4 linked regions of the Neodiprion lecontei genome follow. The protein of the gene in region 1 purifies or fractionates together with the protein of each later gene. This does not show direct contact. Links are inferred from orthologs where the notes say so. Each region holds a gene or a part of one and is shown in the gene's direction. Other genes may lie near its edges. The genes, in order: cell growth-regulating nucleolar protein, nucleolar GTP-binding protein 2, nucleolar GTP-binding protein 1 and nucleoplasmin-like protein.

Region 1 (4,475 bases):
AAACTTATTAAATGCTGCATATTCTCTGACCACTGGGATCCAGATTGCAAAAAGAGCTGTTGTTAAGTATGGATGTTACGGTGCGAAAAGTTTGTATCAAACAGTAAGGGTAAAGTAGCAAATAAAAATTCAAAATATGTGTCTCAGTTTGTTATAACACTATGGAGTAGGGGTGCACGGTATTTCAGTATCTCCTTCCTCGAAATGTATCGGTACGGGAATACCGAAGTTTCTGATAACCTAAAGTTATTTAGTACAGTTCAATACAGATTTTTCTTAATCTTTTTTCCGACGATATTTGTAGATTAAAGTCTACCGACATTTCGATATTTCGGTTAACCCAAACTACCGAATACGAAACCCGTAATGAAAATCGGTACCTAATTTTCAATACCGCGCACTCGTACTATGACGAATCGGTTTTGTTTACTATTCTAAGACCTCTGGAAAATACGTTTTAATTCATCTCAAGCTAACTTAGACATAAATATAGTTATTACTGTTGATTTTAAGAACATTTACGTAAGAACAAGCTAAAATGTGAGAAATCACAATTCTCTACAAGTGTCGAAAGTGTGAATTTCCGGGAATCCATAATACGGTATATAATTTTTGATGCAATGAGCAGATGTGTAGTATGGCGCGTTGCACCATTAGGTTATGTCACCTTGTGCAATCGGGTGAAGAAGAATTGTATAGTGCAAATATATATTTGAATTCACTTGACTTACCCCCATATCAGAACAATGGTTTTCAAACAGAAAGAGTAAATGCTACTTTTATGCAGACACCACTTCCAGCGTCAATGAATTTCAAAATTGACCCAAAGCACGTGGACGACGCGGGATCGTTAACTCACGAGCAGGCTGATCTCTGCTGATGTCGCTGATGACCGCGGGACAACATTCAATGCTGGGTGTATTCCGAACACGAAATAAGAGAGAATGAGACCGAACTCTGCCGAGGCCGCATCCCAAAAGTGGGATCAATTTTCCAGCGATAAAAAAGTGAGCAGTTCGCTGCGAAGAATAACGGAGATGACGAGTCACGCATGCGCAGTACGACTTAGCTGCGTCCTTATCTCTCTCGCGTAAAGTGCGAGTGAGATAGTTTTGTTATGACAGTGAGGTTAGTTTTTACGGTAAGATGTCAGCGTGTCGTGTACCGCAGTGCAAAACCAAATATAAAGACAAAAATAACAATCACACGTTGTTTAAAGCTCCCTCGGTACGTAACGTGATCATAGAGTGATGGTAAAACAAAATTATACTTCTGTTTATGTTTATTACCAGATTGTACAATAAATTGAAATTGCCAACAACAAGCAAGAAATATCGTTTTTATGTATATATCTAATTTGTGAATCCTTATATTCTACATCCTAACCTTATCTCCTAATTCTCATCACTGTAGCTGAGAATTTCTATTATGTAAAACTTGTATATATCCTGATTCTCCTATTTACCATTTACAATTTTCGTATTGAACATGATTGATAAATTGTTTACATTTAAAGCATGAGTGTAAAAAATGGTTGTTCAATATCCTAATGATCTGGCAAAGGCATTTTATCTACGTTGTTTAGAAGAACAATAAACTGATCCATATTAACAAGGATAATACATTCTCAGAGCGGCCAAATTTTATTGTCTATGTATATTTCAACGTGCATATCTGGTAAAACAGCAATCCTTTTCAATCTTTTGTAGACCAAAAAATGTGCGATCTCCTCGTGTAAAACCCCAACTTGGTGCTGGTAAAATACTTACACATAGCTTTTTCCTCAAATACGTGTAATTAAATTCATTAAGTACTTGCTCCATATCTGTAAGAACGTCCAGAATGATTCAAATGCTCCACTATTTACGGCTTAAAGTTCCATAAACAACGTTCGTAAAATACGCACCTATGATTTCTGACTTCGCAGCGTATTCACGTTTCTTTTTTGCAAATAATAAAGCGATATTTGTGATTCTATCATTATGCCAAGAAATTATTACGCACCATAACCTCATGAACTTGCTGTCACAACAACAAAACTGTCTCACTCGCACTTTACGCGAGAGATACAAAGACGCAGCTAATCGTACTGCGCATGCGTGACTTGTCATCTCGGTTATTCTTCGCAGCGAACTGCTCACTCATCGCTGGAAAATTGATCCCACTTTTGGGATCGGAGTTCGGTCTCCTTCCCTCTCACTTCGTGCTTGAAGCTTGGCATCTTGGATTACCACGCAGTATTTAACCTCAATTCGAGTGAGTAAATCTACCACTAGGCCTATGATTTACAACGACCTGAGTTTATTTTACCCAACAATTATAGCTCATTTTTAAAACGGTATATTTAACTTGTAGGTTAGTTTACTTTTATGCTGTCAACAGTTGCCAGTCGAAGCAAATCCCGACAGAGCAAATTGGAGAAAAAAATACTTGCATTCATGATTCTCCGGCACGTGCTTATCCATAAAAATGGTATTTTTCACGTGTACTCACTGTGGTGAGGCAATAAAGAAGCCTAAAGTCGGAAAACACTTTCAATTCAAGTGCAGAAATTCCATTTCAGTCAGTTGCATGGATTGTTTCCAAGATTTTCGGTACGTTCCAGTTGGGTGAATTTATCTGATTTATAAAACAAAAAAACTAGAATACAATTAGAAATATGAATAATTTGTAATATACCTTGCATAATCTGTGTGCTAGATGATGTATGATTCCATGTATAGGGGACAAGAGTTTGTCAAACACACCAAATGCATAACGGAGGCGCAGCGGTACGGTGGAAAAGACTTTGTCCTCCGGCCGAGCAAAAATAAAGGAGAGCAAAAACAACAAGATTGGGTTGCAGTAGTACATGCTGTCATTGAGAATTCAGAAAACCTATCTGCCGCTGAAAGGAACATTCTTAATACATTGTCAAATCATGACAATGTGCCGAGAAAAAAAGCAAAGTTTTTTAATTTTATGAAAAGCATGTTAGCCGGTCGAGTTAACTTGACAGTCCTCGAGAGTATATGGACTAAAATGGAAGAAGCCTTCAAAAAAACTTTAGTGAATAAAGCTCCTACAAATACTAATGTTTGTTCTGTCGCTCAAGATAATGTAGTGACACCGTTGATTCAGACAGATATATCGGAAAATGAGAACAACGAAAACTTATCCAATGAATATAAAACAGCAGATCCTAATGCCGAATACAGTGGGAACTCGGAGAATCAAAGTTGTGAAATCAGCCTGCAGACAACTGATAATAGCAGTAGCAATAAATCGAAAAAATCACTGAAGCGGAAAATACCTGAAGAAATGCAATATCAGAAGAAGGAAAATGTCCACAGTGACAATAGAAATTGTGAAAATTTCGAGCAAAATTTATGTTCAATAGGTATGGAAGAAAATTGCGTTGGAAGTAAAAAGTCTAAAAAACTTATAGGTGATGAATTAGAAAGTACTAATTTAACAACTGCAATGAGTCAGAACAATTCTAAAAATATTTCCTATAATAACGAAATGGTAGTCAAGAAATTTAACTGGAGTGATGCTATACTGGAGGTACTTTACTCTAAAAAGGAAGTTTCTCTGAGGAAATTGAGAAAAAAAGTTTTGCGACAGTATCAAATATATAGTAAAGTTACAGTACTAAAAGGAAATGCTGCTGCTAAATTTGACAGAAAAATTAATAGAATGACACAGATTGTTATCGAAGATGGAAAAGTCAAACTGACAAAGTGATATCTAGACAGACAACATCTTGTAAAGAAAACAACCACAATAAAAATAAGGGAATTTTGATTCAATATCATTCATCCTAAATTATTTGCGTTATTTGTTGATTTGCATGCGGTGGTATATCTTCTATATTGTTTTAATCATTTCCCTCCTCCCAAATAATAAGTAACAAATAACTGATCCAGCCACTATTCCGCCTACAAATATCGTACGTGATACATGAATAGCCACTAAGAAATTTTTCCTAAAACTATAACAGCACTTACTTAATAAGCTGGCATATCTTCCCAAAATGTACAGTATTCGAGATATATGACAAGTACAGTCGGACCTCTCTATAAGTCCGTCCAGGCTCCTAAGGGGAAGTTTTTCTAGGAAATAAAGTATCCCCATCTTGCTCTCCTCGCGAGCGGCAACAATCGTTTTCCGTCTTCTTCTACACACCGCTACCTCTTAATAGGACCTGCTGCTCGAGTGGGAGACCACTGTGAGCAAAAAACTAGGGAAGCGTGCTTATTGGGCGAGGTTATTACTCAGAGGTCTGTACATACGAGTTAGAAATCATAAAAACAATGAAAATTAAACATGTGAAAAATAAAATATACGTTTATTGTTTAAATGGAAGATTGACATATTAACGTGATTTTTGATTCAATCCCGTGCTGGGAGAAGTTTACAAATGAACAGAAGTTGTGAAATTAATCATGGCTCCATCCAGATGATATGTTTCTTTTAGAATCTAAAACAAATTG
Region 2 (5,677 bases), about 10 Mb from region 1:
TTGGCCCCGCGGCTGATATCGTTCAAATCGCCGAAGTTCCTGTAACTTCGCGGGAATATTGTGCGACTGCTTATGGTCAAAGTTGGATCACCGACGACATGTTGTGCGCTGGTTTTCCCGAGGGTGGCATCGATGCTTGCCAGGTTTGTGCGAATTCGTAATTTTCTTCATTCTGCCGAAGCTAATTATCAATCTGTTCTCCATTGTTCAGGGCGATTCTGGCGGCCCGTTGGTAGTCGATGGAGTTCTTCACGGTGCCGTTTCCTGGGGCAGCGGATGCGCTCTTGCCGGTTATCCCGGTGTCTATGCCAGAGTTTCCTACTTCCGCGACTGGATCAGAGAAAACTCTGGAATGTAGGATGGAGATGGCTGAATCACGCTATATTTACTGTCAATAAACCGTTCGGGATCAGAGACTCATTTCAAGCGTACAGTGTTTATTCACTTTGCGAACGATTAGTGCGTCTCGCAAAACTGGAATTTAAGTGATATTATTGTATAATGTCGTGTCCGGCGTAATATACATGTCAAGGGCGTCTCAGTGTACATACGCACCTATATAAAATTACAGCTATGAAACCGCATCGACATTTTAAAGAACGAAAAATATACCATTGTTATCATTGATGATACCTTAATGTCATAAATGATGATTGATGTGTCTGTATCAAATAGTCCAACTAGAAACTTTTAATGTTAAAGTTATTCGAACGCGTTCCAGGCGTTCAGTTTCATTCAGCAACGCAAAAATGTGGATCAAATTGTTACTGTTGATTCTTACATAGTATCGTTGCTGCCGTGGGAAAGTAATTCGTCGGATTCCTCGTTCCGAAACGATATGTGGATATACCTTACATTTTCAATCATCGGTTTAATCATTTTCTAGCATTTGACTGATACCAATTTGAAAAAAATAACTTCCAGAGTATCCATTAATTCTCCTCTTATACCTTGACTCCAATAATTAGGAAACAATGGAGTTGTATTTTACCGTATAGTACCGTATTCATAGTAAAAGACGAGTTGCTGCATATGTATTTTTGTGAGTGATTACTGGTGGTGATTTATATCGATGTATACAGCACGAGTATACAGACTTCCGGATTGAATGACCATTATTATTCCTCTCCAATGCGCTGAAAAAATTTCTAATTGTGAGTAAATTAAATTAGCATCACGGTGGTGAATACAATTTTTTATACGACGCAACAACAGGGAAAGAAACACGTCCGAAGTCATAAATTATTTTATTTCCGAAACCAACACAGCTTATATTTATCCATTTTCTTTTATAACTATTATTTGACCAGCTTGTAAGTTCCTATAATTGCTCACGATATTTACTTTTGAGCTGTAGTGAATAGCTGGTAGCAGAGTCCCTATAGGTTTTCTATTCTACAAGGTATAAGCCACTGACAAATTATGTTTGCGCAGGACAGAATGGCAGTGATAACTATAATTTATGATCGCCCTGTGGGTTCCTGTAATTGCTCAGGATGTTTGCCTTTGAGCAGTAGAGAATAGGTAGGTTTTTTTTAAATCTAGCATGTCCTTTAGATTTTCCTTTCTGTTGAAATAATAATCCATCAAAGGAAGAGCTTATGAGAACCTCCTTAATCTGAATCTCTTGGAATCTTCTCATTAAGATTGTTTGGGATGAATTCAGTTGCTTCAATTTAAATTCTACGAATATAAATAAACTATTAGTAAAACTGAAAATCAGCGAACCTCAACTTACAAGTCTTTGTGGAAGACACAGACGTTGTCCTATCATTACAAGATTAATTAAATCCGTCTGCAATTAAAAATTGGAGCATTTTAATTTTTTCGTTTATACTGCAATATATTTTTCCATGTATTATGTCTACGTTAAACTTGATGCTAAGGGAAAAATACTTCGTTTCAGTCACACTGTTTGTAAACTCTGATGCCTAGATAATAATATATTTTTTTTAGGTATTTTTCGCTACCTAAAAAAAATTTATGAACTCAATTTCTCGTTGAAGATAATTTAAGAAAATGCATTGATTCCAAACGGCGTTAACATACTTTTAGTCAACGTTTGCTGCAACAAAATAGTATCAATCCTTATAAGATGTCGATAATTTTATGCGTGTGTGGATGCGTAGTGTATCAGCATAATTGCGTATCTTAGCCACCGCTACACGGATTTGCTGTGTTGCTGATGGCACGTGCAGCAAGCACTGGCCGCCAGACGGCAGCTGTGGACGAATATCAAAGATTCATAAGTAACATTAACCTTACATGTAGCGGTTGAGGGTGGAAATATTATCTTCGTCGTAGCACTTGGTGCTCCTATATTTTGTAATCCAGGAACCTAATACGTAAATCAGGTATTTATTAACTTGAACAATTTCATGTGGGCAGTAATAATCGATTGGTGTCCAAACGCCTTGCGTATGGGCATTATGCAGTTTTGAGGTTAAGTTGATTAACACGTGTTTTTAACGTCAATTATAAAATTTGTTTGTAATATCTATTAACGTTCCCAACAACACGTGTAATATGAATGTCGCAGAACTAGCTGTGAAATACTTCGTTCTGAAAATCTGTTTATACTGGAGAAAAAGCTACATTATTATTTAACGTTATTTGACATAACCTACCAACAACTTTTTCATCCATACTAATAACTACTAAATTTATTTTATTCTTGGTATGATGTTTTCAGAAAAAATGGTGAAATCACATTCTGCTAGTAAGGCTCCACGGAAGGAGGGATTCAACAGATCGGGGCACAGTATGAATCCTGAAAGATCGACCGAAGGGCTCAAAGGTGTAGCGAAGCCTCGAACGAAGGCGACAATTAAAAGGCTGCAAATGTATCGTAATTCGAAACCAAAGCGTAATAGAGTTGGTAAAATTATAAGTCCAGCTCCATTTCAAGGATGGCATGCATCTGGTACGGTTTCTCGAGTCGAGCCCAGTCAAAGGTGGTTTGGAAATTCACGTGTCGTTTCTCAGAATGCTCTTCAACAGTTTCAAAGTGCATTAGGAACAGCTATGAAAGATCCTTATCAGGTTGTGATGAAACAGACCAGATTGCCCGTTACTTTACTACAACAAAAAGCTGCTAATGCCAGGGTACATCTGCTCGATACAGAGAGTTTCCAAAATGTGTTTGGACCGAAGAAAATTAGGAAGCGACCTAATTTGCCCATTACAACCTACGATGATATGCAGGCTCACGTTAAGGAGAAGGAGGAAAAATATAACTCTGAGAAAGACACTAAAGATCATGATTTGATCAGACCGGATGATGGGACACGAGATGTACAGAGAGACTGGGTTATGGCTGCAGGACAAAGTAGAAGAATTTGGAATGAACTGTATAAAGTAATCGACTCATCAGATGTTGTTATTCAAGTTTTGGATGCCAGAGATCCAATGGGAACTCGATCTCCACCTGTAGAAAAATATCTAAAAACTGAAAAGACCCATAAACATTTAATTTTCATATTGAACAAGGTCGACTTGGTACCAACTTGGGTCACACAGAGATGGGTTGCAATATTAAGTGCTGAACATCCGACCCTTGCTTTTCATGCCTCGTTGACTCATCCGTTTGGAAAGGGTTCGTTGATTAATCTCCTACGTCAGTTTGCAAAGCTGCATGGAGATAAGAAACAAATTAGCGTCGGCTTTATAGGTTACCCAAATACAGGCAAAAGTTCTATCATAAATACTCTGAGATCTAAAAAAGTCTGCAAAGTTGCACCGATTGCCGGAGAAACCAAGGTATGGCAATACATTACCCTGATGCGGCGCATATATCTCATCGATTGTCCTGGCGTTGTTTATCCGTCTGCCGAAACAGATACGGAAAAAGTTCTGAAAGGCGTTGTTAGGGTTGAACTCATTACTAACCCTGAAGACTACATATCGCATGTATTGGAACGAGTGAAACCTGAATATATGCGTAAGACTTACAAACTCGACGAATGGTCAGACCACATAGACTTCTTGGAAAAACTAGCACGTCGGACTGGCAAACTATTAAAAGGCGGAGAACCTGACGTAGCAATAGCAGCACGAATGGTTCTTAACGACTGGCAACGCGGAAAGCTTCCTTTCTTTGTCCCACCTGTGGGATTTGAAAATCCATTACCTAAGAAGGCAACGGAAGAGGAGACTGTTGCTGAAGTATCGAATGAAATAAACGAAGATATTACTTCGGATAAAAATGAGGAAACTGAGAATGAGGCAGTGAAAGAACCTGTCAAATTGTCACTTAATGTTGTCCAAGATTACAGGAAGATCAGAATTGGTTTGACATTCTCAAGTGAAGACAACAGAGATGTTTTTGCTGATGAAACCGGAACTATTCAGAACGATGATAAGGATAATAATACAAGTTCAGCTGTGTCTGCAGATGACTCTCAGCCGCCTAGTGAATCTGAAGAAGAAGAAGCAGATGAAGAAGAAAAAGAAGATAATGGTGAAGGAGAGTTGTTACACCAAGAGAGAAATGACCTGAAAAAGTCTGGAAGTAAGAAATACAAAACAACAGCAAATGCTGAAGAAGAGAATGATTCATTAAAGGATGATGAGACGTTTTTTGGACCTGAGAAAGATAGCTTGATGCAAAGTGCCTTCGATGTTGTAGAAGAAGAATACGATTCTAGTGATAGTGAAGTTAGAGAGATTAAAACAACCTCCAGCAGCGGTACATTCAGCGTCTCTGACGAACCAAGGAAAAAAGAAAAAACAGATCCAAATGAAAAGAAATTAACTAGTAAGCAAAGAAGAGCTATGGAGAGATCAAATAAGAGAAAGAAAATAGGAAGCGATTTCTATGAAGTTACTAATGTAAAGAACAGAAATAGAAACAGAAAAGTTCCGAAGACAAGATAAACCCAGCACTTTGTTATCTGCTACAGTTTGACCTATTGCCCGGGTAATAATACGTTTGCCACGCCAACGTTGTTTCCCTAATCCTTACCGAATAAAAAGTGTAAATACTCAATTCTCTAGTAATTTTCACCCATTTACAATTGCATAATGCTAAAGAGTTGACTGAAGATACAAGTCAACGGATTTACCATATCTTCAGTCGATGACAAAACTACTGTCGAAATTTCATCTCATTGCATCTCACGCTTTGGAGAAACTCAACTGCATATGCTGCACTAGCTTGCCAGTCTTTTTGAAATTCAAAAAAGAACCTTTAACCAGAGACCTACTCATCTCTGCTTTAACGCGTATTCTAGTACTAGGAGTTGCCACCAGACTTCGGTAGTTTTCCAAGTCTACATTCACGTATTCTTAATCACATAGTTCATGATCCAACCAAATAAGGCGAAGGGCGGGACAAATATACCAGATGCGAAAGTGGGGGAGAGGCGGTTGTGGTGGTGATACGCGACTGATACGTGACTCAGGTGACAAATCAAGCCCGTGTGTGAAGATTCACCGGGTTTACGTATTTTTCATACTAATTAGCGGCCGGTCGCGAGGCATACAAGGGTAGAAATGTCATATGAAACGAGTAAGTAGTATTTTCAAGCTTTCCGCAAAATTACCACTCATTGTGCTCGCTATTTATGTTCACCGCCTCCTCGAATCCCTCGGTCGTAGCAGTTTACCGTTCATACTTATTCTACCGCATCTCTTCTCTCGTGCAAACTGTGTGTGTTTCATTCATGTGTGCGAATTA
Region 3 (5,967 bases), on another chromosome or scaffold:
TATACAACGCAATTATATATTTCACGGGGAAAATCAAAAAAATTTTATATGTGACGTCGGAGCGGTACCTGGTGGAAATTTCCAGATATTAGACACCGGAATCATTCACACAGCTACAGTCAGACTCACATCAGTAGTTTGGGTCACCAATTACCGATAAAGTATTGAAATACACCGGACAACGGGCATTCTGTCGCTCTAATCGAACTAACCGAGGAAGGAGTAATTATTGGATAAAAGATTTAATTAATTGGCTTACCTCTTGAGAATACTCTGGATATGATGACTTGTAGCGTAGATTGGTGAGAGCATTTAACGGAATAACTGATTCTAATATATTCGGATACTTTGATTAACTTGGATTTATTTTATAAGTTCAATATTTCAAGTCACAAAAACGGAGTTACTTAGTGTAAGATCTTAAATTAATATGACAAAATGGAGCTGAAAGCTCGCTGGACTTTTGGGCAGAGTAACGTTGTATGAAAAGTTTAAATGCAAAAGGCAAAAGGATTTTACCGCGAGACTGTACCCGAACAAGATGACGAATCTGGTCATAGAAACCAAGTGGACGATCGGATGATCGGTCGCCGTTTTTATAGGGGTCGATCGTTGCGCAGAACGATCCCCTTTTTTATATTTTGTCACCTTTTGCGCACCTCCCCCTTTTTTTAGGAATTCTAATTAGGGCACGCCATCTTCGCCGCATGCACGCCTGTGATCTTAGTTCATTAGCTACTACTATATTGCAAGTTTTTACATATGGTATAACGCTGCACCGGTGCGGTGGTGTAGGTGCGGGGTCGTTGTTCTATAATTTTCCATTCTGCGTGAGCTTTGTTGTTGGGGCGCAAGCCCCCCTTGGCCCCTCGGCTACTGTGCTTCTTCCCGCCGTCTCGTGCTTTCGGCAGCTATTTCCTAATATGGTAATCGCAGTGCGGATGCGCTAGTGGTGACTCATGTTTTATGTTAGTGCCGTGTGCATTTTCGGGCTCACGATACGCTTAATTCTAGTTCCTGTTTACTTCCTAATATTCTTACTATCCTGTTCGTTACAAAGTCTATATGTCATATTGGTTACTCGTCGTTTGTTAGTTTTATAGCGTGTATCTATATAAAATTACATATGTAATATAATCGATTACTGTCGTTATTCACCTGGATTATAATAGCGATTGTTTATGAGACATAGTTGCTGTTTGCTTAACATTATTAGAATCGCGCTGCTGCGAATATTCTTAGGTGTTTGTGTTATAATTATCTTAACAAATTTAGGGTATTTAACAATTTGATAATCCATAGTTTTAGAGCAGGTTTACATGTGTGCTTTCGTATATAATTCTCTTCTGTAATTATTAATTCTTATATTGATATAAATCGGCTTGGAAGCTTCTAGAACGTTTTTCTTATGTTTGTTGGTTGCCTGTCATTGGGCGTTGCCACGTATGCATCTTTGAGTTTATTGCGAGTTGATTTACCTTCAATCGTTTCGTCGGTAAGTTTCCTAATGTGTTCTCTAGATGAAGCTCTGTATGGCTCCACATTGGAGATCTGCATTGCCTTCAAAACGTTGCGCGTGTTGCCTACAATACGGCGTTACGGAGGAAGGTACAGTTCATGCTGGATAATTAGTATTCACGGTTTTGAAGGTTTTGCAGTCTCTGGTTTTATGGATTATTGCAGCAGTGCTATCTTTACATTATATTGGTTATACATTTATCTATGGTTTTACAATCTTCCGTACTCCAGGTTATATGGTATAGCGTAAGTCGCTTATAGTATAGCTCTCAGCTCCGAATGCACAAATGGCATTGTCGAGTGCTATATAATAATTGGATATAATCGTGTTAGTTAATTATGGTGTTAATATGATAGTGATATGTAATAACGTATAATAATATTATAGCTCTTTGTAGTGCGAAGATCTCGTTAGTGAATGTCATAGTTATTTCCATCTAGGGATATTCCAAATAGTTAGACAGTTGTTTTAATTCCTTATGGTTACAAGATTCTCATACTTCGAGTTTGGTTAGTTGATAAAAGTAACATGCAGTAATAATAGTCGATAAAACATACGGACGTTCCGGTTGGATGTTACACTATGCTGGTAACTTAGTTGATTTATTATCCCACGGAGGGCGCGACACCATCTTTCTTTTCGGGAACGTCGTGCAGCACGTGCGTGATGGAATCCCAGTAACATTAGCAATATTCTTCATATATTTGCTGTCACCCAAGTGACAAATCATCTGTAAAAATGGCTCTGTATAATTTCAAAAAGATCGCCGTTGTCCCGACAGCCAAGGTAAGCAGATCCTCGATTGAGCGTCGAATCTTAACCTAGTCAAAAAGACACGTTCAATTCTGATGTCAAGCCAGAAGTACTAATTTCATTCACTCTCTGACACTGCACAATAAATCCCAAATAACGATCCGCACTTCTGTAATCCGACTCGTCGACTCACTGATTCAGAAGTCTTGAAAATTGAAGTTACCAATATTTTTAGGTTATCGACATGTCCACACCGTTATTTTTTCGAGGATTAATAATGTCATCTTGTCTGATGTTTTACAGGACTTCATCGATATCATCTTATCCAAGACTCAGCGCAAGACACCAACCGTCATACACAAAAACTACAAAATATCAAGAATCCGTGCATTTTATACTCGCAAGGTGAAATTCACCCAGCAAAATTTCCACGATCGCATGAGCCAAATTATCCAAGAGTTTCCAAAACTCGACGATGTTCATCCGTTCTATGCCGATCTCATGAACGTTTTGTATGACAAAGATCATTACAAACTGGCTCTGGGACAGATTAACACTGCTCGCCACTTGATCGACAAGTAATTATGCTTCTTTTTCATAATTCGATTTAATACTTTTTCCACATTTGCTCGTTTCAAGCTCGCGAAAGTGAAGAACTTGTCTGTGTTGAAATTTAATACGTCTAATTTTTTTAGCGTTGCAAAAGACTATGTGCGTCTTCTAAAGTATGGAGACTCCCTGTATCGTTGTAAACAACTGAAGAAAGCTGCGCTGGGTCGGATGGCTACCATAATGAAAAGACAGGCTGCAAATTTAACTTACCTAGAACAGGTTCGGCAGCACTTAGCTCGATTGCCGAGCATTGATCCGTATACTCGCACGATCATCATTTGCGGTTTTCCCAATGTTGGCAAAAGTAGCTTCATAAACAAGGTGAATTACCTCGTAATCTGGTTTGCAAATGTGTCTAATTATCGCTAATTTTTCAGCAACAGCTTTTGAGACATTGATTGATTTTATTAACAGATCACTCGAGCGGACGTCGAGGTGCAGCCTTACGCGTTTACGACAAAATCACTGTACGTTGGACACACAGATTATAAGTATTTGCGCTGGCAAGTCGTAGATACACCCGGAATTTTAGATCACCCATTAGAGGAGAGAAATGTTATAGAAATGCAGGCTGTCACAGCGCTTGCACATTTACGTGCTGCAGTTTTGTATTTTGTTGATATATCTGAGCAGTGCGGCCATTCGTTAGAGGAACAGGTAATTTATTCAAAAGAAAATATCACCGACTGTGACTTTATGTGCATTTGTGATTAAAACTTAATTACCTATGCAGGTAAAGCTTTTCGAGTCCATCAAACCTTTGTTCACAAACAAGCCACTGATGATCGTTCTGAATAAAGTTGATGTTCTTCGACTGGAGGAGCTGCCGGAAGACAAACGTGAAACTCTAAAGCCTTTCGAGGACGATCCTGACCTTCCGGTAATTGAAATGAGCACAATTACTGACTATGGGGTCATGGAAGTCAAGACTCAAGCCTGCGATCGGCTGTTGGCTCACAGAGTCGAGCTCAAAATGAGAACGAAGAAGGTAAAGTTGTGGAACAATAACCATGAAACAGAATTTCTCGCGAATTTTGCTCATTATATTTATTCAACAGATGGAATCTGTCCTGAATCGATTACATGTAGCTCAGCCCACTGCCAGAGACCAAAAAGCGAGGCCACCCTGCATTCCGGAAAATATTCTCAAAAAGAAAGAATTGGCAGCTGCAAAGACCGAAAGAAAGAGGAAACTGGAGCGTGAGATCGAGGAGGAAATGGGCGACGATTACGTATTGGACTTGAAGAAAAATTACGACATTGAAGGGGACCAAAAGTACGACATTATTCCGGAGTTCTGGGAAGGCCACAACGTAGCGGACTACATAGACCCCGACATTTTCGAGGTAACCGTCGATTGAATCGATTTTAGGAAGCGAAAAATAATGCTGTAAATCATATTCCCATTATTGTTATCCCTATTTTGTTATGCACAGAAATTGAACGCTCTGGAGCAAGAAGAAAACCTGCGGGAGGAGGCAGGCATTTACGATGCTAAGATTCCGGAATTGAGTGAAACTATGCGAGAGATTCGCGACTTGGCAAAACAAATTCGGGACCGCAAAGCCATCATGAAAGACGAAGCACGAATCGCAAAGGCCTCTACTAAGCCTGTTATGCCTCGCACAGCTGGCTCAAAAGTGCGAGATCGTTCCGTCACCAAGCTCCGTGATCAAATGGAAGACTTGGGTGTTGATATGGAGGGCACAGAAAATGTAAGTTGGCATATTCCTCCAACAGGCGTATGAATATGAAATATAAGAAAGAAGTGTTTTAGGTAAAAATGCAATGAACATTTTATCGTTCTTCAATCATTCTCCATTATATTCGACAGGCGAACTTCACCAGGACCAGAAAGAGATCTAGATCGCAATCGCAGCCTGCCACTAAAAGGATGCGACTTCAATCCGAGTCCCAGTCTAGAGCGCGTAGCAGTTCTAGACCAGCTCGTAATGATATGGGAATTAAGGATAATGTTGTAAGTGCTGAAGTTTCATTTTTTAAGTTCAGCTTTTTTTTTTCTGTAGTTTAATTACACACTCTATGTTTCTCTATCACAGATGAAGATGAAGTTAAAAAACATAGCACACAAAGCAGTGGCAAAGAAAGTGGGCAAAAAGGGATTGAAAGGAGAAGCCGATCGATTCATCGGGACAAAGATGCCGAAACATTTGTTCGCTGGGAAACGAGGAGTCGGAAAAACGGACAGGAGATAAATATATATTATATATATATATTTTTATATCAGAACTGCTCCACCGTAAATACATATGTATACGCGTTATACTTATGTAACTAGCAAACTTTATTTCTACCTAGAATCAGCGGAAACTAAATATCCAGGCATATACTTGTGAAATTCGATTCTTCATTAGCATTATCAGTGGAAAATTGCGAATAAATAGCATTACATAATCTATAACGATAATAAATTAAGGATAACGATCAACGAAAATTTCATCTAATTTCGCATTTGAGCCGACAATTTAACGAGTGTTTCTGACATTGAGTAGGAATGTTGTATAAAAAGATGAAAGATCAACCAAATGAAAGAAAATTAAAACAGTTTACATACTGTAAAATAGAAATTATTCAATAACTTCGGTGCTACAATTATAACGATAAATTATTTCACCGCGCTTTGCAGTAAATGTTTGGTGTTACATAACGTAAGGCGATTCATTCGGTTCGAATAAGGGATAGGCAGTTTATGGATGACGAAATCCGAATCTCAGTGTTGTGACACGAGGTAGCGCCGTTGCGGGCGGAAGTGTGACTGAAGTCGGCTAGGCCTGCTTATAAATAAGGCAACAAATGCAGCAAGGTTTTGCGCTCAAGATATAGAAGTGAATTTACAACAATTAAAATGAAATATACAATTTTATTGACTAAAGCGAAGTCGGGGTGAATATATTTGTCGAAAACATCGCGGCGCTACCTCGTAGTATTTTCAAGTGACGCCGTCGCCATGTTTGTTTTTAGTATTTGAGGAATGAAAAGTGAACGCTAGAATCGGTTTGAATAAATACTCTTGAAATTTGGTGAAACAGCGGGTTTGTCAGAAGTGACAATAGTGTCGATGA
Region 4 (7,155 bases), on another chromosome or scaffold:
TGCAGATATTGCCAGCAGTGAGTACGCATTCGTAAATAGCTTCTAGTAAGTCGTGGTCTTGAGCATTGAATTCAATCTTCACTTCATTCTGTATAGTTTTTACTAGTAAACTGCTTAACTGTGAGCATAACTTATGTTGTACTATTTTTCCCTCTAATTCAACGTCTGTATACTCTTGCACTTTCAAATTACGGCGCTCCAAGTCTTCGATTTCATTTAAATTTTCCCTTTCGATGATCAAATCGTTAACCAGGTTCATTATACGTTTCTGTGCAGATATGGGACCATCTGCCAAAACCTGAGAAAATATTTCTAAGCCGCCGTGACTCAGTAGTGCTTTTTGTGCAGCTGGGTAGTTCCGGACCAGGGAACCCAGTGCATATATACATCGATCCATCAACTTCGAGGTGCCGTGTTTTGTCAACATGCGTAAAATGATTGGAACAAATTCCGACTCCAGTGCTATTTCCTTCACCTTCGGGTTTGACTGTACAGCTGCTCCGAGGACATGAAGGGCTTCACACTTGATCTCCTCTATTGTGCCATTGAGACAAGGGTGTATCACTTTCATCAGGCTGAAAATATTTACAATGTAAAGTGAAGACCGATTGTTATATGATACGAATTAATACTATAAGAATTGGCACAAGTAAAGTTTTCCTAGAAGGCAGATGAAGAGCGATGTATTAATTTCAGACTAGAAGCAACAGATTTGATGAATGGAAAATGAAAAACGTGAAAATGCTAAATTCTATTTCAAACAGTTCCATGCACAATTTCAAAAATTGTAAAATGTAGACTGTACGCACCCTCCGAATCTGGTGAATTCGAGCCCATTGTCAATGTCATGGACCAGGTATTCTAACTGACCCAATATATCCATGATGTCTTTGATCTCTTTGGCATCTAGTGATCCGGACGTAATTGCAGTTCGATGAGTATCAAACTGTTCAATGAAAATACCTAATAAATCAACGTCGGTTGACGGGCCAAAGTTTATGTTCTCATACTCCTTCTTCAGTTCATCAAAGCTCTGGAACCTGGCACGCTTTAGAAAAGAAAGGAAAATAAGATGTCAGTAATGTGGAAAATGCGACTATTTCCTGTTTGACATTAAGATAGATTTGAGCGACGAATTACTTTGGGTTTCCGTGCGAAAGGAGTCTTGTTAGACTTAATTTTTTTCAATTCGGTTTTTAATTCTTCCCCAGATATTTTCAAAGTCCTATCATCGTGCTGAATCTGTCCATCATTAATTTCCGAAGGTTTTAAATTCTCCGCGTCTGGATGTAGGGCTACGGATTTGCGCATTTCATCGTTATCCGAAATTTCTTTCTCGCTGGGTTCCATCAGTTTTGCTTCTGTAATGCCAGTTTGAAAATTATGCCGAACATGAAGACCTTTTGGGATTGGTGTGCCTGAAAATTATTAGCGTTCGTTAGGAAGCGCGGGATTCGTCGAATAATCGAGAAGCCTCAAACCCCGAAAAAGCTTTCAAAATGTGAAATATAACGGCGTATCGAATCTTATCGCACCGTGTAAAGTGGGGAATTTAATAGGGCGAATGATCTATGAGCCATATGCCGATCTCTCGTTGGTAAACGATCAATTTATGCAATCGCACGAGGCCTGTGTACTTGACTGACGTTGTAAGCACACGTCAAGTGCGAGAAAAGTAGTCCCGTTTCTCGACCTACCCTTTTCAACGACTTGCCATTCTTTGGTGGGTATAAATACACTGTCATTTTTCGATCCTTTCTCCGAAGCTACGATATCGTTGATCCAGAGATACGAGACTATGATAAACAAGCATAGATCGCACACGTAACGCATTTTCCAAGAGAACGTGTCGAATAGGCGCTGTGAGCAGGTGCCGGATTTCTTCTAGAATATACGGTTACTCATATAGGAATTAAATATCCGTTCTAAGCGACACGAGAACCCGTTAATAATATTTACAAGGGTTTTTCAATACCACGCACTCGCGCTGTCACGTTTTACAAACCGTTTGCCTATTGTTGAGAAAATTTATCTTATTAATGCAGTCGTTTTGCAAAACCTAGTTCGTCACTTCTGTCGCCAGGTGCCGTCTCGAGACCAATAGCGCGTCGGAATGACCGCAGAAGTTTGGAGGCAGGACCCAATCAGAAGGTGGAACGTACTCTAGGCGCGCAAGCCGAGGGACGCGAAACTCATTTGCTGCGAGATCGTCAAACACGTGTGACCATTCCGAGTCTCTACCCAGTTACGCGGCGTCCCTCGGCTTCAGACCCGCAACTCAAAACGTTTGAATCTGTGTATATCTAATCGATCGCCATGGCTGAGGAATATTTATACGGTAAATATTATACTCTAAGACTTAACGGATATGCTGATTTATTTATTTTCCATAAATAGCGAATACTTTCGATACATACCGTTGTTTTAACACCGTTGTATGCCTACGTGTGGACGCCGGCAGAATATCGGCCATTATGCAGGCGAATCCATTGTCTTTGTACAAAAATCTTGGTTATTATACCATTCATTATTTCTCTCATCGTCGATGTGCCACAGAATGATTATTATGTCGATTTAAATTATGCGTAAACTACATTCTTCAAGTCTTGCGTCAATTTGTATGCAGGAATCACTTTGCAAGGACCCAATGCCACCGAGGTCTGGGATCCTGAGCACAAAAACGAGGACGTTGACGGTGCTAATCAACATTTTGGCGCTGACCAAAAACTCATTATCAAAATGGTGAGTTGAAATTGTCAATCTGGTAATCAAGTATCTAATTTTTTACACTTCATCAGCTACTGTTTGATTCATTTTGTGTTACCCATCTTTAGCGCCATTGTCGCCGTGCGTACGCAATTTTGCCGATTCACATTCTCAACCTTTATAACACGCAAAATTTGATCCTAGAACAAACCAGAAATAAAAATTTATAAATAACACGTCAGTGTGTCAACAATCGATGATTTTTGTCCTTGAAAATTGTTATCGCTGTTTTTAACGCATTTTGGCGCCATTTGCATTCATCTTCTAAATTATTGTCATTCGAAAAAACTCTGAAATATCCAATTCATTGCTATTGTATACCTATTTGTTTCTGATAAGTTGCATCAATATAATAAGTATAGTCATCCCAAAAAGAAAATCTGTACTTAAATTTTGACAAGCTAATTGATTGTTTAATCGTTGCAAGTTGTAAGATCAACATCTATAATGTAAATTATTTAAGCTTGAGTCGACATTAACTAGCTGCTGTTTTTATTTAAAAAATTATGAATGACGAGCGATCAAGAATAAACAGTAACACGTTTCAATTTCTGATAAAAAGTATGTCAGCCTTGAGGCAAGCTTTGAAAGTACTGTTTATTTAATATTAATAGTTCATCAGTTTATTGCAACACTAACATTTAGCTTACGAATATGGTCAATATAATCCGATGAGGTTCATTATCTATATCTTTTTTTTGTGACTTCAGGCACTTCTGGGACCTGAGGCCAAAGCTGGCGAGTTAAACGTACTACAAGTTGAGGCGATGGGACTCAAAGGTCCAATTAAAATCCCAATTGCCTTATTGGAACTGGGCAAAACTGCACAAATCATCCTCGATCTAAGTTTCCCTGATCCACCCGTCACATTCACCTTAATCAAAGGCAGCGGTCCAGTCCATATAGTAGGACACAATCTCCTTGGTAAGTTTCATTTTGTTTCGTAGATTAATCTTCCTTCACTCCTGATATATTTGGACTAATAACACTTGCAACATCACTACCAGCTGTGTCAGCGATGCACGCTCAAGGTTTGCGAGACACCATTTGGCCGCAATCTTTTATAGACTATCGTATTTAATGAGAAAATGTTTCATTTTAATGAACTGATGCTAGTGACCAGAGTCAATGGCGACGAATAGTAATTATGCTGAAAAATTTGGAAATGAAGCCTAGCAATTGAAATTTCACTGAATCTCATGAATATTTAGTACTTTCATAGAATCATCGGATCTGAAATTTATGTATGATTATCTTTAAAAAAAAGTTTACTACATCGGCTGCTGACTGAAGTCACTAAATTCAGCTTCATCTCATTTTAGTGATCAAAAAACTATGATTACAGTTTTATTTGCACTGTATTGTATAAGAATATATTGTGTGAATATATCATGCATTAATAAACTCGATTATTCGTTACAGGGACGCATATGGATGAATTTGAAGACATGGAGGACGAAATGGAGGAAGAAAACATCGATGACGAAGATGATGAGAAGGTGAATATAAATCTAAAATTTTACAGCTTTTAGCCAGGGTTTTTCAATTAAAAATTGTCAATTTTGAAAATAAATAACCCATTCGTAATTACAATTGATTCAGACCATTGGTTATTGTGCAAAAGCAAATTAAGCGTATTGTAAACAAAAATTCTGAAATTGGATTTGTGTTAGCAATACGTTATCTTAACAATCGGTACAAAACTGAAGGAGTATGGTTAGAAGTTAGGAGACCATCATACGTTATGTGAATGGGAATTAATATTTCAGGCCTCGCATAAGAAACGGAAACTTTCTGGCGAGGGTAAAAAAAATGGCACCAAACGCGCCAAGATGGATGAGGAGGTAGACAAGGAGAACTATCGAAAATAGCATGCTTGGTCCTAGCAATAAGTTTTACATATCTTACGTTAAATACAGACTATACATTTCAAACATCAATTAAATTCGTTTTAATCATCAACTCTTCATTTCACCAGACTAGAGTGATGATAATGGTAACTTTGAAACGTACAGATGTACTTGTCTATGTTACATCAAAATAATTTAAGTTTTAATTTTTTTGAAAAATAAACAACGTCTTTGGAATAATTGTTTTTAGATTTTGCATTTTATTTCACTACCTACCATCTTGGCAGTGTGCAATATAATGGGCCTACTCTAAATGTTGTCTATACATCTTTGACTACTTTCCGGTCATTGTAATATTAAATTTTGTTTCTCAGGGTTTTATGATACATAATTTTGATCACAGATTAGGTTTTATAATTTTTTCTTTTACGACTACGAGTTTTGTTACTCGACGGTAAAAATAATATAACTATTAATTTATAAAATAATGAATTGTTATTTGAGTAGTTAAGACTGATCGGTCTGGATTTATGACACTATTGTCTCTACACTAGATTGAATTATTAGAACAGAATGCGTAATCGGAATCTGCTCTCATTAATTTCTTTGATGTTTTTGATTTAGGACCCTGAGGATGAAGAAGACGAAGAAGAAGAGCCCAAAAAGAAGAATGCGAAATTAGCGACCCCAGCTAAAAACAAAAATCAAGCTAACAAGAATAAGAAAAAATAAATCCGTGGTTTTATTACCAACACATCCTAGGCTAGGCTCTTGAATGTAAGTTCATCATCATTCGCGTTTTGCGTGTTACAGTATCGTTTCATCTGATAGTCAAAAGAGACCATTCATTATCCATTCACGGATTCTAAAATCTTGAGGCTGGGTTGTGTACATTTTTTTCATGATAACAATTGTTCTTCAATCGAAAGCAACGAAGAAGCAAAAGCAAAGAGAAAAAGATCACAGATATTAGGCACACAATCTGTTACCTTACTGAATTAATGCGTTACTTGAAGATTTCCAGACTAATTTTGTGTAAAAATACCTATAAGATGAATATGTATTTTATTCTAGCGACTATAAAAGGGTCGCGGAGCCATGACAAGGTCATCAGTGAGAACACATTTTCGAGGAATAAGTCTATATAGAAGGCAATGCAAGTTCGACTCTTCAGTATTTAACGCTTCTGCGTCTCCCTGAACATCGGAATAGCAATCTACAGCTCAGATTTGAAAGTTCGTGAATCCGAATGCTAGACAAATGATAGACTGACAGACAGACGGAGACAGATTGACGCATGTTTTAATCCTACTCTTCCGCAGCTCGACTTCCAGTCAGAAAACACAAAGCTATATTATAACACCACTTGATAATCATATTTACTTCTTATAAAGATCATGACGGAATTTTTATCCCACTGATCTAGTATATTTATTTTGAACTAAACGAGGTCTTTGATTAATTTTATGACCATTAGAAGGAGTTAAAACAGAACATTGTCATCTCTCGATATTCATTCCATTTGAAGAAAAGTAATAGCCGGCGTACAGACAGACACTATATGCACGGCGCACCGTTCTTATTTAACATGTGTTATACACAGTGTTTTCCACTTACGTGCCCATACGTCTGTATACTCTTTTGTACATATACGATACAATAAAAATTTCACTTAACTTTTACTTAATATTAATTTATTATGTAAATTTGTACAGTGCGTGACTAGACTTAGAAAACACTTTCTTGTTTGAAAAATTTTATGTCAAACCTCCCATTATCCGCGCGAGGTCTAATTTTCAAGAAAATATGAAGTGGTGTGGGTAGTTAACACTTTGAACCACGGCCTTGAACAGTTGGAGCCAGGTAAAAATCAGTGGGATCATAGTAACGATCGGTTGTTTGATATTCTATAGTTATAGTCATATTAATAATTTGTACTACTTTTACTCTTGAAATATTTGATATTTTGTAAATATATTCGAAGGAATAATTATGCTGGGATGAAGTTGGTGTGGTTGGAATTTTATAGTCGTAGGTCTTCTGGCCTGCCATTTTACGACCTCGATGAAGAAAACATTTTCAAATACGGGATTACTTCCACGAAAATTTCTAAGGTTGGTTTATGACTGTCACATGTCTTGCTCAGAGTTGATAGGTTGACAGTTAAATGGCAGGAGTTATCACTGTGGGAAAAATAATAGAAAAAAATTGTTACATATTAGCCTAAGTCTACCGAACGTAAAATGTGTGCATCACTTTATATCAAAGTTCATCATTGTTTTGGATACGTAAACATTGGTTTTAACGGTTAACAAAAGTTGGGCCTCCTTGGGTTTCAAATTTTTTACTAACAACGTCAAACCTCAAACATTTGGGAATCATTCATGTACCTAAATTTCGAATCGAAACCATCGGGGTACGTTCTAGTTATGTATCCACCAAGTACTTAGCCGACCTTGTCGAGTGATTTTTGCTATCTACGGGGATAAAAGTAGACTTACAATTAGTTCGGTATTAGCAAGCAATATGTACAGAACTC

Evidence for each region.
Region 2: the proteins of cell growth-regulating nucleolar protein (region 1) and nucleolar GTP-binding protein 2 purify together in Homo sapiens (affinity purification with mass spectrometry; 3 studies listed by BioGRID and IntAct, with this or other methods). This does not show direct contact. The link is inferred for Neodiprion lecontei from reciprocal best matches to the Homo sapiens genes LYAR and GNL2.
Region 3: the proteins of cell growth-regulating nucleolar protein (region 1) and nucleolar GTP-binding protein 1 purify together in Homo sapiens (co-immunoprecipitation; 3 studies listed by BioGRID and IntAct, with this or other methods). This does not show direct contact. The link is inferred for Neodiprion lecontei from reciprocal best matches to the Homo sapiens genes LYAR and GTPBP4.
Region 4: the proteins of cell growth-regulating nucleolar protein (region 1) and nucleoplasmin-like protein purify together in Homo sapiens (affinity purification with mass spectrometry; 3 studies listed by BioGRID and IntAct, with this or other methods). This does not show direct contact. The link is inferred for Neodiprion lecontei from reciprocal best matches to the Homo sapiens genes LYAR and NPM1.

Annotation. Positions count from the first base shown.
Region 1 is NC_060265.1:31,636,742-31,641,216, reverse strand, and holds cell growth-regulating nucleolar protein, read left to right. Parts: upstream 1-2,458; 5' UTR 2,459-2,469; coding exon 2,470-2,594; intron 2,595-2,723; coding exon 2,724-3,726; 3' UTR 3,727-3,807; downstream 3,808-4,475. Other genes in the region: nucleolar complex protein 3 homolog, read right to left, coding at 732-737; EP300-interacting inhibitor of differentiation 3, read right to left, coding at 4,397-4,462. UniProt on the Homo sapiens protein: Plays a role in the maintenance of the appropriate processing of 47S/45S pre-rRNA to 32S/30S pre-rRNAs and their subsequent processing to produce 18S and 28S rRNAs. Also acts at the level of transcription regulation.
Region 2 is NC_060265.1:21,565,588-21,571,264, forward strand, and holds nucleolar GTP-binding protein 2, read left to right. Parts: upstream 1-2,194; 5' UTR 2,195-2,354; intron 2,355-2,692; 5' UTR 2,693-2,697; coding exon 2,698-4,875; 3' UTR 4,876-4,987; downstream 4,988-5,677. Other genes in the region: trypsin-3, read left to right, coding at 1-143, 212-358; actin-interacting protein 1, read left to right, coding at 5,494-5,509. UniProt on the Homo sapiens protein: GTPase that associates with pre-60S ribosomal subunits in the nucleolus and is required for their nuclear export and maturation.
Region 3 is NC_060263.1:16,127,563-16,133,529, reverse strand, and holds nucleolar GTP-binding protein 1, read left to right. Parts: upstream 1-2,144; 5' UTR 2,145-2,257; coding exon 2,258-2,305; intron 2,306-2,575; coding exon 2,576-2,850; intron 2,851-2,967; coding exon 2,968-3,205; intron 3,206-3,298; coding exon 3,299-3,541; intron 3,542-3,617; coding exon 3,618-3,872; intron 3,873-3,942; coding exon 3,943-4,230; intron 4,231-4,320; coding exon 4,321-4,599; intron 4,600-4,718; coding exon 4,719-4,862; intron 4,863-4,944; coding exon 4,945-5,100; 3' UTR 5,101-5,174; downstream 5,175-5,967. UniProt on the Homo sapiens protein: Involved in the biogenesis of the 60S ribosomal subunit. Acts as a TP53 repressor, preventing TP53 stabilization and cell cycle arrest.
Region 4 is NC_060260.1:25,711,794-25,718,948, reverse strand, and holds nucleoplasmin-like protein, read left to right. Parts: upstream 1-2,134; 5' UTR 2,135-2,316; coding exon 2,317-2,338; intron 2,339-2,626; coding exon 2,627-2,742; intron 2,743-3,476; coding exon 3,477-3,690; intron 3,691-4,188; coding exon 4,189-4,265; intron 4,266-4,535; coding exon 4,536-4,610; coding exon of another isoform or gene 4,611-4,637; exon of another isoform or gene 4,638-4,856; intron 4,857-5,240; coding exon 5,241-5,348; 3' UTR 5,349-6,298; downstream 6,299-7,155. Other genes in the region: nucleotide exchange factor Sil1, read right to left, coding at 1-575, 810-1,048, 1,141-1,418, 1,698-1,833. UniProt on the Homo sapiens protein: Involved in diverse cellular processes such as ribosome biogenesis, centrosome duplication, protein chaperoning, histone assembly, cell proliferation, and regulation of tumor suppressors p53/TP53 and ARF.